Diceros bicornis minor: one gene and its partner. The protein of the gene in region 2 interacts with the protein of the main gene of each other region in a biochemical or structural test. Links are inferred from orthologs where the notes say so. Each region holds a gene or a part of one and is shown on either strand. Other genes may lie near its edges. The genes, in order: ZEB1 and USP51.

Region 1 (9,521 bases), on a different chromosome or scaffold from region 2:
CATGTGGTCATTAGTACATAGAGTACATTTCTCCAAAAAAAAAAAAAAAAGTAATAATAAGAAAACCACACAGGGAGAAGTGGAAAATGAGAAGACAGATTTTTAAAATACAACAAAGCATTACATTATAAGTGGTAAAAATTGATTTAAGCAATTCAAATGCCACTCCTTTATAGATGACTAACATCATTACCATAAAGTTACATATCAGTGGTTTACCCCTGTCAAGTTACATTACTTGATTCTCCCATTAAAACCCTACTCAGCAGATATATTCCAGAAAGGAAATTAAAATATTTTACTGGAGGCTTAGCAGTAAAATCTGCATACCTTATTTTAAAATGAACAAAAAATGATTTACATATAAATAACTGCATTAAGTATCTCTATGACTATCTCTCACTGTACACATCACTTATTCCTTCATTAAAAAGATTTGAGTTAACATTTTTCCAAGTAATTCTCTCCAAAAAACAACTGCAACATAAACATGATCGCGTTGCTAAGACATATTAACCAGAATCTATCCTGAGGTTTCACAACACAATGGCATATAACTTCATTTTTAATTTGCAAATTATAAGGCTTAATCAAGTAGCATGGCTGTAATCAACAGCGATGGATGAAATGCATTTGAGAACAAAAAGAAATACTAAGACAGAGCCAAAAGTGATGAAAATGGAAGATACCTGTGGTAGTACAGTGCTATCTTAAACACCTTTTGTTTTCTGAGAGTAATGCATACTGCAGACAAGACATTTTGTGCTAAACGGCCCCAAATCTGTTTTTCTAATATTAAACACAAAGGAAAAACACTGACAGCAAGCATGGTAAATAATCCCTCCCTTGAGAATGAAAGCAGCAGACAGGAGTGGGCTGACATACATGCAGGAGAAAACTAAACACCATCTTTTTTCTACCTGCACAAGTTGCCATTTGCTGCAGCGATCGAGAACCTCTTTTTCCTGTTGATTTCAAGTACCTTTCAGGATAGCTTTTTTTCCCTTAAGTCATCTGTTGATATGCCTTATGAGTATAATATTCATATCACAGGATCTTTAGGAGAAAAATCCATTCTTTCCTGTTCAGGTAAACATGTTTACAGCAGCTGCACAGACGCTGGGTGGTTCAGACTCACATGTCACACACATGTCGTCAGCAACAAGAAAAGCCCCTTTCTCTGGCGATGAACATTTTAAATAAGGTAGAGCGAACAGCCCTTTCCGAACCAACTTACCTTTCATAAAGCCACATCAGCAACAGCGGCAACAGCTCAATATAGGACACACTATTTGACGCTAAAACAGGAAATTAAAATTGCAATCGCCTATGCTTCGCTCCTTGCTGTAACAAGTCATCTCTCCACAATGAGGATACCAAATATTAGTTATCAGTCATAACTAACAGACGTCTTTAAAATGAAAACGTTTATTTGAATATCTAAAATCACTCATGAAAGCAGTGATTTTAATGTCGGCTCAAATATATTAAAAATATGTTTACGATTGGAAGGAAACATCTTGAAACAGCTTTAAATCTTCGTATCTGCTTCTCGACAGGAAATCCCACACAAAATCTAAAATTGCCAGGAAAGGTTACAAAACCTCGCGTTTCGCATCCCAGAGGGGAGGGAGAATGGATCCCGAGAGCGGGGGGTGGGGCGGGGGGAGCGCGCGCGAGTTTTCACTTAAACACGTATTTCCTCATTTTCTGGAAGATACAGCGATCCCATTAGAGGCGCATTTATTGCCCTACTCTTAAAAACTCGTTTTTAAAATAACGCAGGAACGCAAAGGAGCCCCTCGGTCCGAAATGTACGTGTAATTCCTTATATAGCCTGGCTGCAGCCAGCGCAGGCCGTTGCCGCCCATTATTATACAAACAGGTACCCGGCCGGCGCGGGCGGGGTCCTCTCCCCGCGCTCCCGCCGCCCCCGGGCGGAGAAGTCTCGCCCCTCTCGCCACAGGAACTGTCCAGACAATAACAATCAGCAGACATTTCGCTGCTGAACCAGAGGGAGAGAAAGCACAGACTCGCCCCCGAGATAAGCAGAAATACAATCAACTTACACCGTCTCTCCAAACTGGAAAAGGCGACTGTGCAACAACAACCACATGTTCGGGTCCTGCTCTCTCGCGCTCTCTCCCTCTCCCTCCGTTTCTCTCTCTCGTGTTTTGCTTTTTTTAACTCTCACGCCAGGCAGAGGGGTGTGTGTGTCCCCGGCACCTCAGCACAAATCAATAAGCACTGCAGCTGCAGCGCGAGCAGCGGACCCGCGCGTCCGTCGGTCCGTCCGCCCCCTCCCCCACCCTCCTTCCACCCGAGACCGAGAGCGCCATCCAAGCTCCATTATCCGGCTTCAGCGCTCCGAGCGTCCGGCCCAGGTAACAACTTCCCCAAAAACCGAAAGAGAAAAAAGAGAGGCGTAGGTGCAGGACCCCATCCCGGCGCGGAGGAGTCTTCCCGGGAAGGGGGGATCTGTCTGTGGTGCTTTCCCGTCTGAGCCCAGGTAACTCCGCGCACACACCCGCTGCCCGGCTCGCCGCCATCCACACGTCCCCCAGCAAGGAGGTGCCCGCTCCCGCCCGCCGGCTCCCGCACCACCGGGTCCTCCCGCGCGGGGCTCGCCTCGGCGCCCCCAGGCCGGGGGCCCGGAGCTCGATGGCCCGAGGCGCGGGGAGGAGGGGCGCTGAGGGACCCGCGCCTCCGCGCCGCTAATGCCCACTCCGCGAGCGCGCCTCGCCAGCCGGTCCCAACTTTACCGCCGCCGGCCGAGCCCGGGCCGCCCGCCGCGCGCGCGGCGCACACGCGCGCACGGACGACACGCAGCCCACGGCCGCCGCGTCCCGCCCGCCGCGCGCTCGCAGCCCGGCCCGGCCCGCCCGCCCGTTCGGCCGAGCCGCGGGGCCCGGGCGGCGGTGCCGGCCGGGGCGGCGGCGCGCGGAAGCCACTTTGCACGGTCAGCGCCGGGCACAAGTTCGTTCCGCGGCTCCCGGGGGCCTCGGCGCCCAGGGAGCCGAACGCGGAGGGGCCGGGAGGCGGGGGAGAGGGGAGGCGCCGAGGGGCGAAAGAGTGGGGAAAAGTGCGAGAAGAAGCAACAGCCGCTCCCCCGAGCCCAGAAAAGTGGCCGGCCGCGTCCGGGCCGCCCGCCCTGCGCCGGGATGCGGCGGCGGCTAACGGTCCAGGGAGGCGGCAGGGGCGGCAGGAGCCGCTAGGCGGAGAGAGACCAGGTAAGAGACATAACGGTTCAGGGAGAGCGAGCGGCCGCGGCGCGGCTCCGGCTGCGGCGGCAGCGGAGGGGGGCAGAGAGCACTACTTTCTACTTTCCCACTCCACTTTGCCCGTCCCTGCCCCGGCCGCCCCCAGCCCAGCTCGCCCCCCTTACCCCCGGGGCGCCCCGGCTGCCCGGCTCCCCCTGACTCCGCCGCTCCCCGGTCCCCTCCGCCACTCACCGTTATTGCGCCGCGGGTTCGCCTGCTTTCTGCGCTTACACCTGGGGCCATCCGCCATGATCCTCTCGCTTGTGTCTAAATGCTCGAGTCACCTCCTCCCCCTCCCTCCCCCTTCCCCCCCACCCCTCCGCCTCCACCCCTCCCCCCTCCCCACCGCACCTGGTTTACGACACTCGCGGCTTTACGACATCACCTTCCTTACACCTAGAGCCGCTCGCTCTACGGCCGGAACCTTGTTGCTAGGGAGAGGACGGTTTGCGGCAACCGTAGGAGCCGCTGAGTTTGAATCGGGGGGAGAGGGAAAAGTTTCCCTCAGGTGTCGGGGGACGGGGGAGGGGGCGTTAGGAGACTGTGGGGACGTGGCCAGAAGGGCGACAGGCCGGCGGAGTGAGAAAGGTAAAGTGGGAGGCTGCGTGGCGATCCGCCTCTGAACTGGCCACGCCCGCCGCGGCCGCCTGGGGCGCGTATGGGTCTGGCTCCTGCTGGGGACCCTGTGCCCTCAGAGCTGCGCCTCCGAGAGACGGAGCCACCTGCCCTCCCTCGTCCCCGAGGTGGGGCTCCCCCCCACGCATCGTTTGTCCGCTCGGCGCGCCCCCGGGCCCGGGAGAGGGTCGTGCCTGGCTCCCCGGGGAGTCCCGGAATCAGAGGCACGGCGAGGGGCGGCTTTGGGAAGCCCGGCCTCTGACGGCGAGGACGCGCGCGTCGCGAGAGCGCTACTTGACTCCCTCCCTTCCACGGACGCGCGGGTTTCCCCCGAGCGACCCGGGCTAGAGAGTGATTTCAATTAGGTAGAACTTAAGCTGGACCCAGAGAGAGACGACAAGTTCCGCTTGCAAGCCGCCTGGGCGGTAAGCGGAATGAGTAATACCCACGCTGTCCCTGTCTCACTTCCTCATGCGCGGGCCCTCACCTGCTGTCACCTCGGCCTCCGCCGCCCCGCCCTCCTCCCCGCTGTCCCCTTAGAGTAGGCTGTAGGCGTCAAGACTTAGAGTGAAGGTATCGACAGGCCACGATTTACCACCTAAATGGGCAGTTACCGCCCTATGGGACCTTAAGGCACGAAACAGCGGCCGCACGTGTGGCCTTTGAGACTGTTAGATTGCTGATCCTATCTCGAGTCCCTGACTTTGTACAAGTTTGGGGATTTCTGAAAGACCGCGTAGATAACACCACAAATACCAAGAAAGTCGTCTTCAGTATTCAGTAGGACTTAGCTTTCCGCTCCTTCCCCCCTCCCCCATTCAAGTGAGGGAATGTCTTTGGGACCAACTTTATGGAATAAATGAGCTGAGCTGTATTTCAGATAATATAGTTATGAATTAACTATGTAAGAATTATTGATAGAGAAATTGAGGAAACTGAAACATGACATAGACTATTAGAAGTAACATAGTAAGTCGCCCAGCACAGTGCTCTCACATAGTAGGTCTTCGATAAATTTATGCCTATAATTTTTGTTATACCTATGGCAGGATTCTTTATTATGTTAAAATAGTCTTTTGAACACCCTCCAGAATTTTAGAAGATGCATTAATAATCTCCTCAAACCTTTCAACTGAAATAAATTTACAGCTGAAGTCTGGTAATTTAAAATTAGAAAGTTTAATCCTGAATATAGATGAAAATTTTCTCTCCCACGTTGGCTTTGGCATTTGAGAAGTGAATGCGTTATTTATTGGTGCATGAAATGTGACTGTAAATATTCTGTGCTATACATTATGTCTGTATATCTACTCTCCTCAGTGCCAAGACTAGAATCATTATTTCTACTGATCATTTTAAGTACAGGCAGTCCTCACTTTTCTCAATACCATGTTGACTGAACTTGTGCATGTCAGAACCAGAACCTTGTCCAGGCTTTGCTTGGTTCACGTTTTTTTTCCTACCCTCTTAAGAGCTGTATCATGTTCTTCAGTTGCCTTCTGATTCAGGTTATAGACTTTGTCTTTTGCTAGCAGCGCCCCCCTCCCTCCCCGCCCCCCCCACAAGTAACTTTTTTATAGCTACCCTAATTTCCAATCAGAAAGGAAAAAAAAAATACTTTCTAACTGTAGCACACGAAGTATCCTACATGCCATTTTCTCTTTCTGAAGTGCCTGTCCTGTACCTCCCTACTAGCTTTCTTCAGTGTTCATCCTCACCTTGAAATCCAAGAGAGAAAGTGAAGGGATAAGCCAAGTAGAAGTCATTTTCTGCCTTACTTTAGTGGTTACTAGTTTAGTTAGCTTGGGCCAGACTTTATTTAACTGTGTGGACAGATACAGTGTTTTTTTGGTTTTTGTTTTTTTTTTTTTGCTTGTTCATTTCTGTGCCCTCATCACTTAGCAGAGTACCTAGTCACATAGTAGATGCTCAGTAAGTAAATATTTATTAAATCAATCAATATTGTTGACCTTTCCTGAATGTTTTTGGCTATAAAGTAAGGGTTGTTTATCTGCTTTCATCACATTAGTTCTAAGGAGCAGTTGAAATGGTGGATGTAAAAGCTGTTTACTGTCATTTATATCCTGCATTATTTTGAGGTTAATTGCTCTTCGTTTTAGATAGTCCATAATCATTTTCCCCAAACGATTACCTCTGCTCACTCCTATTTTTAAAATATGCACAGGAAATATTATTCATATCCCAAATCTAATACAAATTTTTAATTTTGTAAACCTGTAATAATTACATATGTTATAAATTGAATATTTGATTAATACACTTTTTTTGCTGTAATGTTTCCAAAATTATTGAAATCTAGACTGGAAAGAAAGCAGACAAAAGTAAATCTCAGAATAAATCGTTGTTGTAAACCTGATGCATATTGTAATGGTTGCTTCTTACACCTCTTAAATATAACTAAAGAAGTGGAAAAAATCTTGAGTAAATTTAAAAAAGGAATAAATTTATTAAAATTTAGACTTATTTAAATAAAAGATGGTGGGGATACTAATAAGAGTTTAACATGTGTCCTGTATTGTTGGTTTTTAGTAATTGTGGTGCCGTCACACGTTTTCAATGTATACTCCTATTTTTGACGTCAATGAAATGTTAACACTGTGCTTCTAGCGAGCACTGGGATTGCATATGCTGAAAGGGAGGTATTCTGCTAAAAATGAATTACTATAATCTTTTCTAAATTTACAGGGAAAAATGTAAATGGATAGAATATTTTCAATATTAAGTTTTTTCCTATAAATTTTTCATGAACCCTTTGCACCTATTTGCTTTCCATAGAAGATTTATGTATTAGGATAAAATTTGACATAAAATCATTTTAAGTTTAAAATGTAGGTGTTTCATGGTGTTCCACATCGAGCATGTGATTTCCATGTACCTTACTTCCTGAACACATTTGAGAAGTATAACTTATTTATAATATGATTCTGTAATCTTCATCAAAATAAAAAGTTGATTATTTTCATGGAAGGATAACGTATTAATTAATTAAATTAATGACATTAACGTGTAATCTTAATCTTAGAGCTTTGAAGGAAAAAAAATTTGATAGATGTTATCCATCAAATTTAGAATCCCCTGAAGTTGCTCCTCAGTCTTTGGCTCAAGAGTAACTCTGGATATGTGGTTCACAATGACACAAAAGAGAGCAGTGGTCGTTTCACTGCCTGCAATTTCACCAGATTCTACAGTCCCTGAGTCAAGAAGGAACCATGACTAGGGGGTGATGTAGAACCAACAGTCTTTAGGACCCACATCAGCTTTTCTAATTAAGCCTCCCGGGAGGTAATAGGGACAGATGTTTTCTGCAAACCTCCGTGTGGTTTTATTATATATTGCACTACAAAATGGTTTTACCCCTGCTGGAGAATAAGACTCCTATTTTTAATATGTCAATAAAGTGTTAACACATGGAGCTTCTTATTTGGGGGGCAACTTTTAGGAACATGTCTAATATAGCGAGATGTAAGTATAAATAAATGTAGAGAGAGAGATTTGAAGGATATTAATGAACATCCAAAAGTTTGTTGTTAGTGCTGTGGAGTGGATTCCAACTCTTAGCACCCCTGTGGACAACAGAGCAGAACCCTGCCTGGTCTTTCTGCTCCATCCTCTCACCTTCTGGTGCTGTATCAGACAAGGCTCCACTGCTCTTCACAGGGTTTTCATGGCCAGTGTTTTCGGAAGTGGGTAACCAGGTCCTTCTTCCTAGTCTCTTAGTCTGGAAGCTCCACTGAAACCTGTCCACCATGGGTGACCCTGCTGGTATTTGAAATAACGGTGGCATAGCTCACAGCATCACAGCAACACACAGCCGCCACAGTAGTACAGCCGGCAGACAGACACATGGTGTGGTTCCCTGGCCAGGAAAGGAACCTGGGCCACAGCGGTGAGAATGCTGACTCGTAACCACTAGACGACCAGGGCTGGCACCCAAAATGTAAAACTGATCTTTTCCATAAAATCACAATAATTAAGACATTGCTTTCAAAGGCTAGCTCCACAGAAGATAGATTATAGTTTCTAATATTGATATCACTTATGAACATGATTAGAATTTTTTCTGTACTTAACTATAGGTAGGTAATTTGTACTAGAGAGCGCAACATACATATTTTGGATTTGAGTGAATTTTAAGTATCTACAGTGATATCAGGCGTCTGATATCTGGTTTCTGCTGCTGGTTTTCCCTCTTGCCTCCGCGTATTTCTTTTCTCTGCCATCTTGACGACTTTGAGCAGCTGACTGATTCTGTTACAGTGTGGCTGGCATCTTTGACCTACAGCCCTGGCCTTCTATATTCCATGGATCCTCAGTTACAATCATTGCTACTGTTCAATCCTTGGACTATGTGTATTTGGAATATTTGCAGTCAATAACAGGTTTTACATGTCCTGCCATTGTGTTAAACTCACAAGAAAAAGTCAGCAATAGGAGATACTCTGTGTTTAAATATACCCACAACTTTAAGATCCCTGGTCAGACCCTTCTCATCCTTTCATCTTGTGCCTCTATTTCTTTACTCACTCTCCTTATCATACTTACATAAATAGATCACACACTGTGCCCCTCTCTACTGTTTTGCTTTTTAATCATTCTTTCCTCTGTCTGTCTTTGTCCCAGATCTGACACAGCTCTGTTCAGGTCAATTCCTTTTCTCTTTTGGTTCAAGGTTTTTTGAATCATTCCAACTCTGTAAAATGCTTTGCTTTTTCATATTTTGCTGGTTATTCTCTGTCCCTCAAAGTCCATTCTCTGCCTTTCCATGCTCTGAGAGGCTGATTTCTGTGGACCACATCACCCAGGCTCCTTTGCCCTGGTGTCTGTTTGGTTTCAGCCAATTTGGAGGCATTGGCAAATGATCAGAGGAAAGGAAGAGAGAGAGGTCAGGATATTTATTTCACCTTCCCCCGCACTCCCTCCTGCCTGTCTGTGGCTTTTGGCAGTAGCTTCATTCCTCTACCTAAGGCCATGTCTCTGGTCAGACAACTCTGACCCATGGCTATAGGTCTTGGCAAGTTCTAGAAATTGCTTCTTCCCTGTGTCCCTTTAGGCCTAGGAATGGTAATGATTTCCTCCTGTTGCAAGTCCTTGGGTACTTTATCTCTTACTGGTTCCCTTAAGCCTGCCCACATCTCTGTAAACAGTCTCTTCATCAGACTCTTCAATTTATCCTTTGAGTGTGCCATTCGTTGCCTGGGTAATACACATATAGAAATAAAATGTATTTTTTCACCTTATTTCTTGTCAACAAAGAATTCTGTTTCCATTAATTACAACACTGAAGTTTGAATATGATGTAAATGTCTTAGGTCATTCGTTGACCAAGTATATATTCATGTTCTAATGTGTGTACATGCAAAATCTGGCAAATACTTAGAGATGTGTCAGAATCTATTACATAGTAATTATTCACTAACTGTGGAATGAAGGTCCCTGGCCTAATTGGTCTAAAATCTAGGAGAGACTACGTTTATATACTTAAAACAAAGAGGGGGGAAAGAAATCACAATACTGCAGTATTAAGGTGGAGATAGCTAGTTGTCCCCACTATGTTTCTTCCCTTTTTAATAATAGAACCCTCCATTCTTATCACATGGCCACTTGAATGGTCCTTGCATGTACCTA
Region 2 (9,331 bases):
TTGTAAAGGTTTAAATTTTTTTATCCTTTTTGTTTAAATAGTTTTTATTTAAATTTCTCAAATTGAACTTGTCTAAGGTTCTTTATATATTTTAAGATTCTCTATTTTCTCTAATTTTTCCTTTTTAAATTTAAAATTTTTAAACAAATTTTGTCTTTTTGTCTTGAATTGTTCTAAATTTTTCTCTAAACTTAAATTTGAATTTTCATTACATTCTGTATTTTTTGAAAATTTATTTCTCAATCATTAAACTATTCACGAATTTTGTTAACCTTTGATTTTTCAACACATATTTTAGGCAAGATTTATTTATATTAACATTTTATTTCATTTAAACTTTTAATTTTAAGAGTTTCCTTTTTTCTTTTAACTTCTTAATTTTAAAACTGTTTCACTTTTTTAACTTTCATTTATAATTTTTTTCTTGTTTTATTCACCTTTTTTAAACTAAGACTTTCCAAAATTTGTTTTTAAGCCTTATTTTAATAATTTTGAAGTTTTAAAAAACTCCTTGTAATTTTTGAAACATTTGTTTTAAAAATATTTAACTTAAAATTTTTTAAACATTTAAAAATTTTTTCTTTGAAAATTTTTAAAAAATGTTTTTTGCTTTATAAATGTTTTTCTTTTAAAGCTTTTTAAAATATCCTCTTTTTTTTTTCAAACTATTTGGTCAGCCACAGCTAGAACACCAACTGTGAAGCTTTTTGCTGATGAAGGAATACTCCCCGACCTCCCACAGTATTTGTGTAGAAACAAATGACATATAGTAGTGCCAGAACATCTCTAGTCCCACTCTCCCCACCTAAAGCATTCTTTTCACTTAATTATGTATGCTTTATGTGACCATTTTCAACCTCTTTTACCTCCTCCCATTTATTAAGGCTGAATGGTCACTAGTCAGTATTCTTTTCCCTCTTACAGACCCATAAGCCATGGTAAAATAAGTTCTTTATAACAAGGTGCTAATTGTCATATAGATGCTGTTATCATTGTCCATTTCAGACAGGTTTTTGTGTTTTTCAAGAGGTGCTGGTTGTTGTATGGGTACTGTCATTGTCCATTCCAGGTAGGTGTGTGTGTCACTTCAGGATCCTTGCCTATTCATTTCTTTTACTTTTTTTTGGTAAGTGGTCTGATAAGACTAGTCTTTCTCTAGACCCTGTTTGTGATAGAATAGTAAATATCCTTCACTGTAGAGTAAGTCCTCAATGGTAGCCTTGGTGATGACAGCATCATCACAGCTGAACCACTGGTCCTTTTGTTGCCGGATAAAGCTGGTGTAGTGTCCACTTTCCAAAGTTCCATGGTGATTAATCACTGCAAACAAAGAATACTTATTCTTCTTGGGTGCACAATCTGTTGGTGGCTGGCCTTCTTCCATTCTGTTCTCTTTAGTGGAGGCCAAAAATGGAGTCATGTCCAGGTCCAAGGGAAAGGAGATAAAAGTATTAATCTTTTGCCTCTGTTTGCCAACATGTTCAAACCGCTTGAGATGAAAACAGGCCACAATGGGTAATTTCTTCATTGTGAGTTGTTTGGTAGATTCCTGGTAGCTTTGGCAACTACTGCATTTGATTTTGGCACTCCTTCCGAGGTGTTCTGGCCTTGTAAACCACTGTAGGCAGTCTGTTAGTGAGGGGATTCCTGGTATGTGGTCATCCCTACTCACTGTGCTGTCATTCCTTTCTGGACTCTGGGAACGGAACGTGGCACAAGAGCCAGGCAAATCCAAACTGATGTCCCAGCATGGGTCTATTGTGGCGGAGACACTATGGCAAGCTTGACATGTGACATCTGACTGCAAGCCACCTGTAAAGATTTGGTCTATGATGCAGTTACAGCAGTTGGGGTTATTGGCCTCCTGCCCAACACTATCATCTTTGCTGTGTCTATGCAGCACATCTAATATTGCAATAAGGAACTCGTGGGCATCCTGCTGCCTGTACCCTGCTAAGTGTTCTGCATGAATCCATATCAGGTGCAGCAATTTATAGGGAATGTGAGGAGTTCGGCTCCCAGAGTACATAGCATGAAAAAGCGAAGACATTTCACAGACAAGACACAAGCTGGGGCTTGTCATTATACATTTGTGCTTGTCAGAGAGGAAGAAATCTTTCAGTAGAGGAATATGGGTAAGTGCCTGGACAATACAATTCATAAAGCAAGTGTTCCCAAGATTGATCAGCCCTCTCAGGCCTACAGTATAGACTGACATTTTTCTCCTCTTTTTCTTGGGTTTCACCAGTTTTGGCTCCTGTTCCTTTGATTCACAGGTTGATTGCTTCTCTTCAACACCTGATGTCATACACTGTTGTTGAGAAAAATCTGTTGAGGTGGAAATTAATAATTTCAAAATTTTCTCTTTCGTTTCTTTGGCAATCTGTTCTATGTCTTTGTCACATATGTAATCCTTACACATGAAGCAATATACAACTCCATGATAGAGGTCTACAGCTAAATTGTGCTGTTTTGTTTCCGCATGTTTGTGAATATGTTTCTCGGTAAAGCAGCCAAAAAAGACACAGGTGAGACAAGAGTGGAGTCTGTTCATATGGGTACTACACACATGACAGATGCACGACTTTGCCTTATGTTTCCTAGTCTCTGGGGTCCCACTCCAAACAAAACGCTGGTAGATCAACCGCAGGTTCTTCTTCCAGTTCTTAACTACTTTAAAGCTCTCCACATGAGAGCAGCCTGTGGGACCCTGATCAAACTCCAACTCCAGCAACCAGTCCCCTAAGCCACCTCGATCCCCAGAGCCGCCCAGGTCACCAGAACAGCTTCGCCATGTCTGGGGCCTGGACCCTGGCCGAGATCTACGCCGAGATCTGCGCCAGCGACGGGGCAGGGGCAGAGATAGAGGGAAAGGACCGGCTGGAGGCAGGGGTAGGGCCGAAGGCCCGGGGGGGCCTCGGGAGCGGGCAGGGGGCTGGGGCCGAGGGCGAGGCTTGCGGCGCGGGCAAAGGGATGAGCAGCTGCTCTGACAGCGAGGGGGAGTAGAAGGGAGCACCTTCTCGTCGCCGCCGCTGCCACTCCATGTCAAGTTCTCCTCAGGCGCGGGCTTACGCTCTTGTAGTGGCTCCAGCTTCATCTCCTCAGCTCCCTGGCCTGAACACACCTTCGCCGCCCCCACTGCCTCCTCCTCCGTGTCCCCAGCCTTCTCCACCGCCTCCTCGGGCGATGCTCCTCCCCCACCTCCGGAGCTCCAGCAGACCCAAGAGCTGGAGGGCAAGGAAGCTTCTTGAACTTGGGCCATCAGCTCACCGCCTGGCCTAAGGAGAAAGGCGTCTGGAATTGAGCTGCGACTGTAGATGGAATAAGACAAAGATTTCTGTTAAAGATCAGGCCAGCGTCACAGCCCCTTTGCGCCATTAGCGACCCCGAGACCCCTCCCACCAGCCCTTGAGCTCAGCCAGCGGCCTCTGTGGGCTCCACCCCCTCTACTCAGAGGCTCCCGGAGCTGGTGTGGAGATAGAGGCCTTACCTGTTTTAAAGACGATCGGATGGTGACGGGGGCGGGGGGGGGGCGGCTAGACGGACGGAGGAAGGAAAAGTTGTGGACGGGGTACGCTCTGAGCTTTAGGGTGGAAAGAGATGGAATCTTCTTTAAAAAAGGCGCCACCCTCTGACTTTCCTGCACCTTGCGAAGCCTCGCTTTACTACAGCTAGCTTCCTCTGATGTTCTTTCCTTATATCCTAAAAAAACACTTGGGTCAACATTTTACCTTAAAAATGGCTGAAAGGGGGCCACCTATGGAAAATGGGCTGAGGGGAAGAAAATGTCCCCTTGCCTCCATGCTTATGGGGCTGGGTATGTTCCACCCTTTGCCCCTATCTCCAAGCACACTGTCTTTTGGTCAGCCACGCTCTTGCACCCTCAACGCTCTTTCGTGCTTGTGTTCCCTCTCACACCTGGTTTCTTGCTTCAGCGCCCTCATTCCCTATAATTACTCCTAGAATTCGGACTCCTTCTCACGCCCACCACGCGTTCGGCGCCCCCATCTCCAGTGCCCGACCGCCGAAGTCTCTGCTCCTTCCCGCCCCCGGCTCCGCAACGCCCCCAGCCCTTCTGTTTGTTTAAAAATCTCTGAGTTAGTTACCTTGGGCCCCGGCGCGTGATACAGAACGTCAGCAGCTGCTGCTCTCCAAGAGCTCCTCAGCCAGCCTTCTCTCCTGACCTCTCCTCAGGGGCGGTCACACGGGGGCCGCCCCCTGCCCCTCCCCTCTGGACATGTGGCCCCCAGTCGCTGCTCTCGTGCCGTGATGAATGGCCCTGCTGTCCCGCGCAAACAAACCTCTTCCTTCCCGAAACTGCTTCTACTGGAGGTATCCACAGCGACAAATTCTAGAGAAAACTCCTGGAATGGAGGTTCTGGCCTGACCTGGCTCCAGGAACAGAACCCAAAGCAGAAAAAAGATTAATTGGAGTGGGGGTGGGAGTGGGGGTGGGGGGTCGCAGAGGTGGCAACTCCCTGGCAGGAATCCCTCAAGGACCCATCAGAGTCTGATCTCTGGGAGGTAAGTGGAGACAGGAATATTATTCTGGAGTGTGGGGAGAGGAAGCATTAGCAAGGGCTCAGGCTCCGATAGGAGAGCCCAGGCACTTGCTAGCTGTGTGAACTCAGATAAAACACCTAACCTCTCTGAGCCTTAGTTGTGTCGTCTGTTAAACAAAAATGGAAATAATAATAATCCTAACCTATTATGAACACTAAATCATACTATATATAAAGTAAAGGATCTTTATGGCAGGTTTTATCTTTCACACCTCTCTTTCTGTGTCCCCACTTTAAATCAGCCTGTGGCAAGATGCCTGATACTTAGAGTAGAGGAAAAGAGAACACTTCTCTCTTTTGAAGCTCTCTCCAAGTTATCGCTCAGTTCACTGGATTATCCCTCCTAAGCAGTTCATGTACATGAGCATGCATTCAACAAATGTACGCGGATCCCTTAACTGTACTACTGTGCTAGGTTGTGCTGTGAGAAACAGTAAAACGATTTATGTTCTCCAGGAGTTTAACCCAGGAGATTTTCCCTTCTCTTTAACAGATCCAGCATCCAAGGCCACAACTCCCATGAAAGCTGCTACCTCCAGGGCTTGTTGCCCTTCCTGTCCAATCCCAAGAATATTCCTGCTCATCAGTGAGGATGTTTAGTGCTACATTTAACCTCTCTGGGGCAGTCATGCACCTCCTTTCTAAACTTCAGGATTAGCATTCAGTTCTCTGAGGCTTGAGAGTAGTATCTTGTAGGTGCCTTCCCAAAATGGATGTCAGTGAGTTTAGGATATCAATGGGATTCCATAATCTGTATGAATTTTCAGAGTGAGCACAGACCAACATGATCTTGGAGAGAAGAACCATCATGACTGTCCTATAGTTCAGAGTGACTATAGGTTGACAGTTTCAAATCAGAGTTAGTCTCCTTCAGAGAAATATGTTTGCAGGAACCTTTGCCCGGGAGACAAGAGAGCAATGCTCTTATGCTTGTCCATCATTATTAGCTGTATTTGTAACCTTAAGCAAGGTACACATCATCTTTACAACTCAGCTCCCCGAGTAAGAAAAGAGCTGGTTTGACCTGTTAGCAGTTCTTACCATAATCTCATGACAACTTAGCAGGAATCCTAATGAGGTTTCCAATTCACAGGTACTTGGCCTCCAAGTCAGCGAATGGCCACGTAGCTGAGTGGAAAGGCCACTGCCGCTCTCATGGTTCTAACTGCCACAACCTCACAGCAGAGAAGGAAGGCTTACTGTTTTCAGGCTAGAATTTTCAGTTTCTCTGCACACAGCTAAGCTCTCGGTATAGGAGCCTTGAGAAAGAGCCTCAAAAGATGGGATGATCTGCTCAAACTGAGGTGCCTTTTGACACATTAGTTTGTCTTCTTCTGGAGTTTTCAAAGGACTTTTAGTAAAAATAATAGTAATAATAACAAGGACAGCAGGATTTGCCAACACTGTAGAACTTGGTCCTGTGTAAACATTAGAGATTTAGAGGTGGAATTTAGATAGATTGCACCAGAGGGTGGAGGAGTACACACACAAGGTGGCAGTGAGGTGGGAGAAGCAGAAATGGAGTCACTAGTGGGTGCCCAGGAGGACTTTGAGGGGAGGCAGCGTCAGAGAGAGGAAATAGCCTACCCTCCTGCTGGTGAGTGGGTGGGTGGCACAGGGGAAGGTGAAGGCCTCTGATGGCCTGAGGGGCAGTCCCTCCTACCTCCCTTGCTTCTTCCCCTCCATCTGAATTACCCATTGTCTTGTGTGTCCTTCCTTTGGCAGAAATCTGGAGTGGGGTAAGGAGAGCTCAGTGGCCCTGGAATTCCCAACAGTACCACCTCTACCTAAAAAACAGCCAGTCATTGCCCCCACATACTCGCCTGCTCCACCCAAACCGAACCTTGTGATTCTGATCCACCTCTTGACAGTAGAGCACTGAGGGCTACAACAGGGAGAAGGGAGCAGGTCCTCAGGATTCCACGATGACTCCGAAGTCACCCCAGAGGTCCTGCCCCAGTTGCATCCCCAGAGTTGTCTTCAGTCTGGACTGATCTGCAAGGATCTGGCCTCCCCCTTGGTTTCCCCCTGCTTTACACCCAGCTCAAATGTTCCCTCTGTCAGGAGGCCTTCTCTGATTCCCCAGATCTGGAGGGGGTCCCTCAGAGCACAGCAGCACTACACAGGCAAGGCTCCGCTGGGCCCAGCCTCTCTAAGGAGAATCCTGTTGGGTTCCTCAGTTTGGACCCTGCCCCAGCCCCTCACCCTCTCCTAACCCTGCCCCTTTGTCAGCAGAGGGAGGGCCGCATGAAGAGACTGCCCACAAAGAAAGAAGGTGTCCTGTGTCAGTGCAGCTGGAAAACATGTCCAAATCTCAATCATGTAGAAGTACCTGGAGGGGAAGCTCTTTGGAGTTGTAGACTAACTTAGAAGGAAAATACTTCCCCCGCCCCAAGTAAGGGCGTTTGCTCAGCCACAGCTAACAAAAGAGTTGCTCATTTCTGGGTTAGCAGACCTAGATGGAAATGCTGACTCAGTCGTTTGCTAGCTGTGTAACTAGGCTGAGGCACAATAATTTATGTTTCTGACAATTTACCAGCTAATGCTGGTGCTGAATGCTGCTGCTGCTGCTATGGGGACCGGACTTTGAGAACCACTGCTGTGGGTTAATGTATAAAGAACCACAGGTCAAGGCCATCTGGCCTTAGTAGCAGGAACCCTTTCTGATGTGGCTGGTTTCCCAGAACTATTTTATTTTGGCTGCTCTTACGGTTTTCTATCTGCAGCAGGTGTTGGGGGTGGTTTGGGATGGAGTGGAACAAGAAAGAGAGGGATCTGGAAGAAGCCTGCATCTGTGCCCCTGGTGCCTCTCAGGACCTTTAAGACAAGACCCCTGCAACCTCACGCAGCATCTTTCTCCCAACCTGGGCCTCTTCTCCTCAATCACCTCACTTCTCTGAGGCCAGCATTCCAAAAGGCAGCCTTGTAGCCATTGCCTGTCCCTGACTAGGTCTGCGGGGAGAGTGCTGTGAACTTGGTTTAGGTCTTCTGGGACCCACGTTGCCTGCCAGCCTCCTGCCCCCTCTCCCGCTGGATCCCTTCTTTTGCTCCCTTTCTTCCCTGTGCCCCAGCTCCTAGCTGGTCTGCCTCCAGCCTTCAGAACAACAGCCTCAGACACCACTGCTATGTGAACTCTCCTGCTCACAGACCCATGGTGACTCCCTGTGGCCTCTTGGTTTTTCAAAACGGAAACTGCCCAACTTACTCCAACTCCCCCCACCCTAAATATGTCCAACCTCATCTTCACTTTCTGCCCTTCATGACTCCAGTGCTTCAACCGCAGAAGCTTCCGTATTGTCCCTGTCTGTGAGATAACATACATGAAAATACCCAGCATGTCAGCCCAGTCCCTTCCCTTCCCTCTGGATTCTCATTTTAAAACATCTCCTAGCAGAGGCATTCTCAAACCTTTGGTGCCATGGGACTCTTGGGCAGCTGGATGTAGCCTGTGGCTTCCTTAAGAGAATAATATTTGTTTTTAATAAATGCATAAAATTAAATGCACAGCATTATAACAAATTTATTAAACTGAAATATGGTTTTGAATTTTTTAAAAAAATACTGTGATTTGATACCATAAGTGCGTCTTTATTAACGCATTAAATAACAGTGTCTAGTGATACCGACATAGCAACTACCATAATTTCAAAGTAGTGATGAGCATAAACAATACTTTGAGAAGTGTGAAACAAATGTAATGTGATATGAAAATCTTTATTGGTGACATTGTCACATGTACTACTAATATTACTGTGGTCTCTTGCCTAGGTTCATAATTGAAGGACATGCTCAATTTAAGGTAGAGGTAGGTAAAAATAAAGACCCTGGTCTTTTCCCCATCCATATGCACAGACCTCTCTGAATTCCATATTCTGACTGCTCTCGCTTCATAATGCCCTGAGCACTTTGTCTGCTTAGTGGGCAAATGTATTACAAACCATTTATTAAGTGCATATTATGAACTCTTCTCTACACCCATTAAAATGTATCCTATCACTTGTAGTGCAAGGTAGGTATCGTTATCCACACCTGACAGTTGTGAAAACAGAGGGATCATTTCACATTGACTGAAGATCACACAGATGAGAATGGGAAGTGCTGGCCCTGGAGCCTTCAGAACTTTTGACACGGTGCTATATTCTGTCTCCTTATCATTTATTTGCTTCAGCTCTTTAGATAGTAGAATGTAAGTGGAGCGTGTGGCTCAGTCTGCTATGTTTCCACACAATTCTGAGTAAATTACCGAGTATTTGTGTGAGGGAGTCAGGAAACCCCCATTCACTGAAGAAGCCAATGGGCTGCATGTACCAGTAGGGGAGGGGTGAGGATGCTGGAGCTATAACTGGAGGATCCCCTCAGGTCTGACTATGCAGAGACTCTGAAAGAGGGGCTTGCCTGGAGGCTCAGCAGAAGGGCATGAATGTGGAGTTGATATTCAGATAGTACACACCAGTAACCATAATTTTTTTTTAGTACTGAAATATCTCCATGCCAGTAAGTGTATATAATAGTACCTGTGAGAAGTTTTAAAGTAATGACATAAATTTTCACACAAATCATTAGATGCCATGCCGACCACTGCTTAAGTGGGCATCCTATTGCGTGCAGTGACATCTGAGAAACATCCACGGCGCTTATTGACTGCAGGTTTGACCTGCCTCATGGTAGCCAGTGCAATTGTGTTTTCCATTTTTTATGAAGTGCTCAATGCTTTAGAACAAGTCACTACTTCATCATTACCTTTAATTTACCTAATTCATTGGTTTTTA

Evidence for each region.
Region 1: the proteins of USP51 (region 2) and ZEB1 form a complex in vitro, tested with the Homo sapiens proteins (2 studies listed by BioGRID). The link is inferred for Diceros bicornis minor from reciprocal best matches to the Homo sapiens genes USP51 and ZEB1.

What each region holds. Positions count from the first base shown.
Region 1 is NC_080775.1:29,629,499-29,639,019, reverse strand, and holds the start of ZEB1 (zinc finger E-box-binding homeobox 1), read right to left. Parts: upstream 3,511-9,521; coding exon 3,453-3,510; intron 3,231-3,452; exon of another isoform or gene 3,105-3,230; intron 1-3,104. UniProt on the Homo sapiens protein: Acts as a transcriptional repressor. Inhibits interleukin-2 (IL-2) gene expression. Enhances or represses the promoter activity of the ATP1A1 gene depending on the quantity of cDNA and on the cell type.
Region 2 is NC_080781.1:47,391,466-47,400,796, forward strand, and holds USP51 (ubiquitin carboxyl-terminal hydrolase 51), read right to left. Parts: upstream 3,263-9,331; coding exon 1,145-3,262; 3' UTR 1,092-1,144; downstream 1-1,091.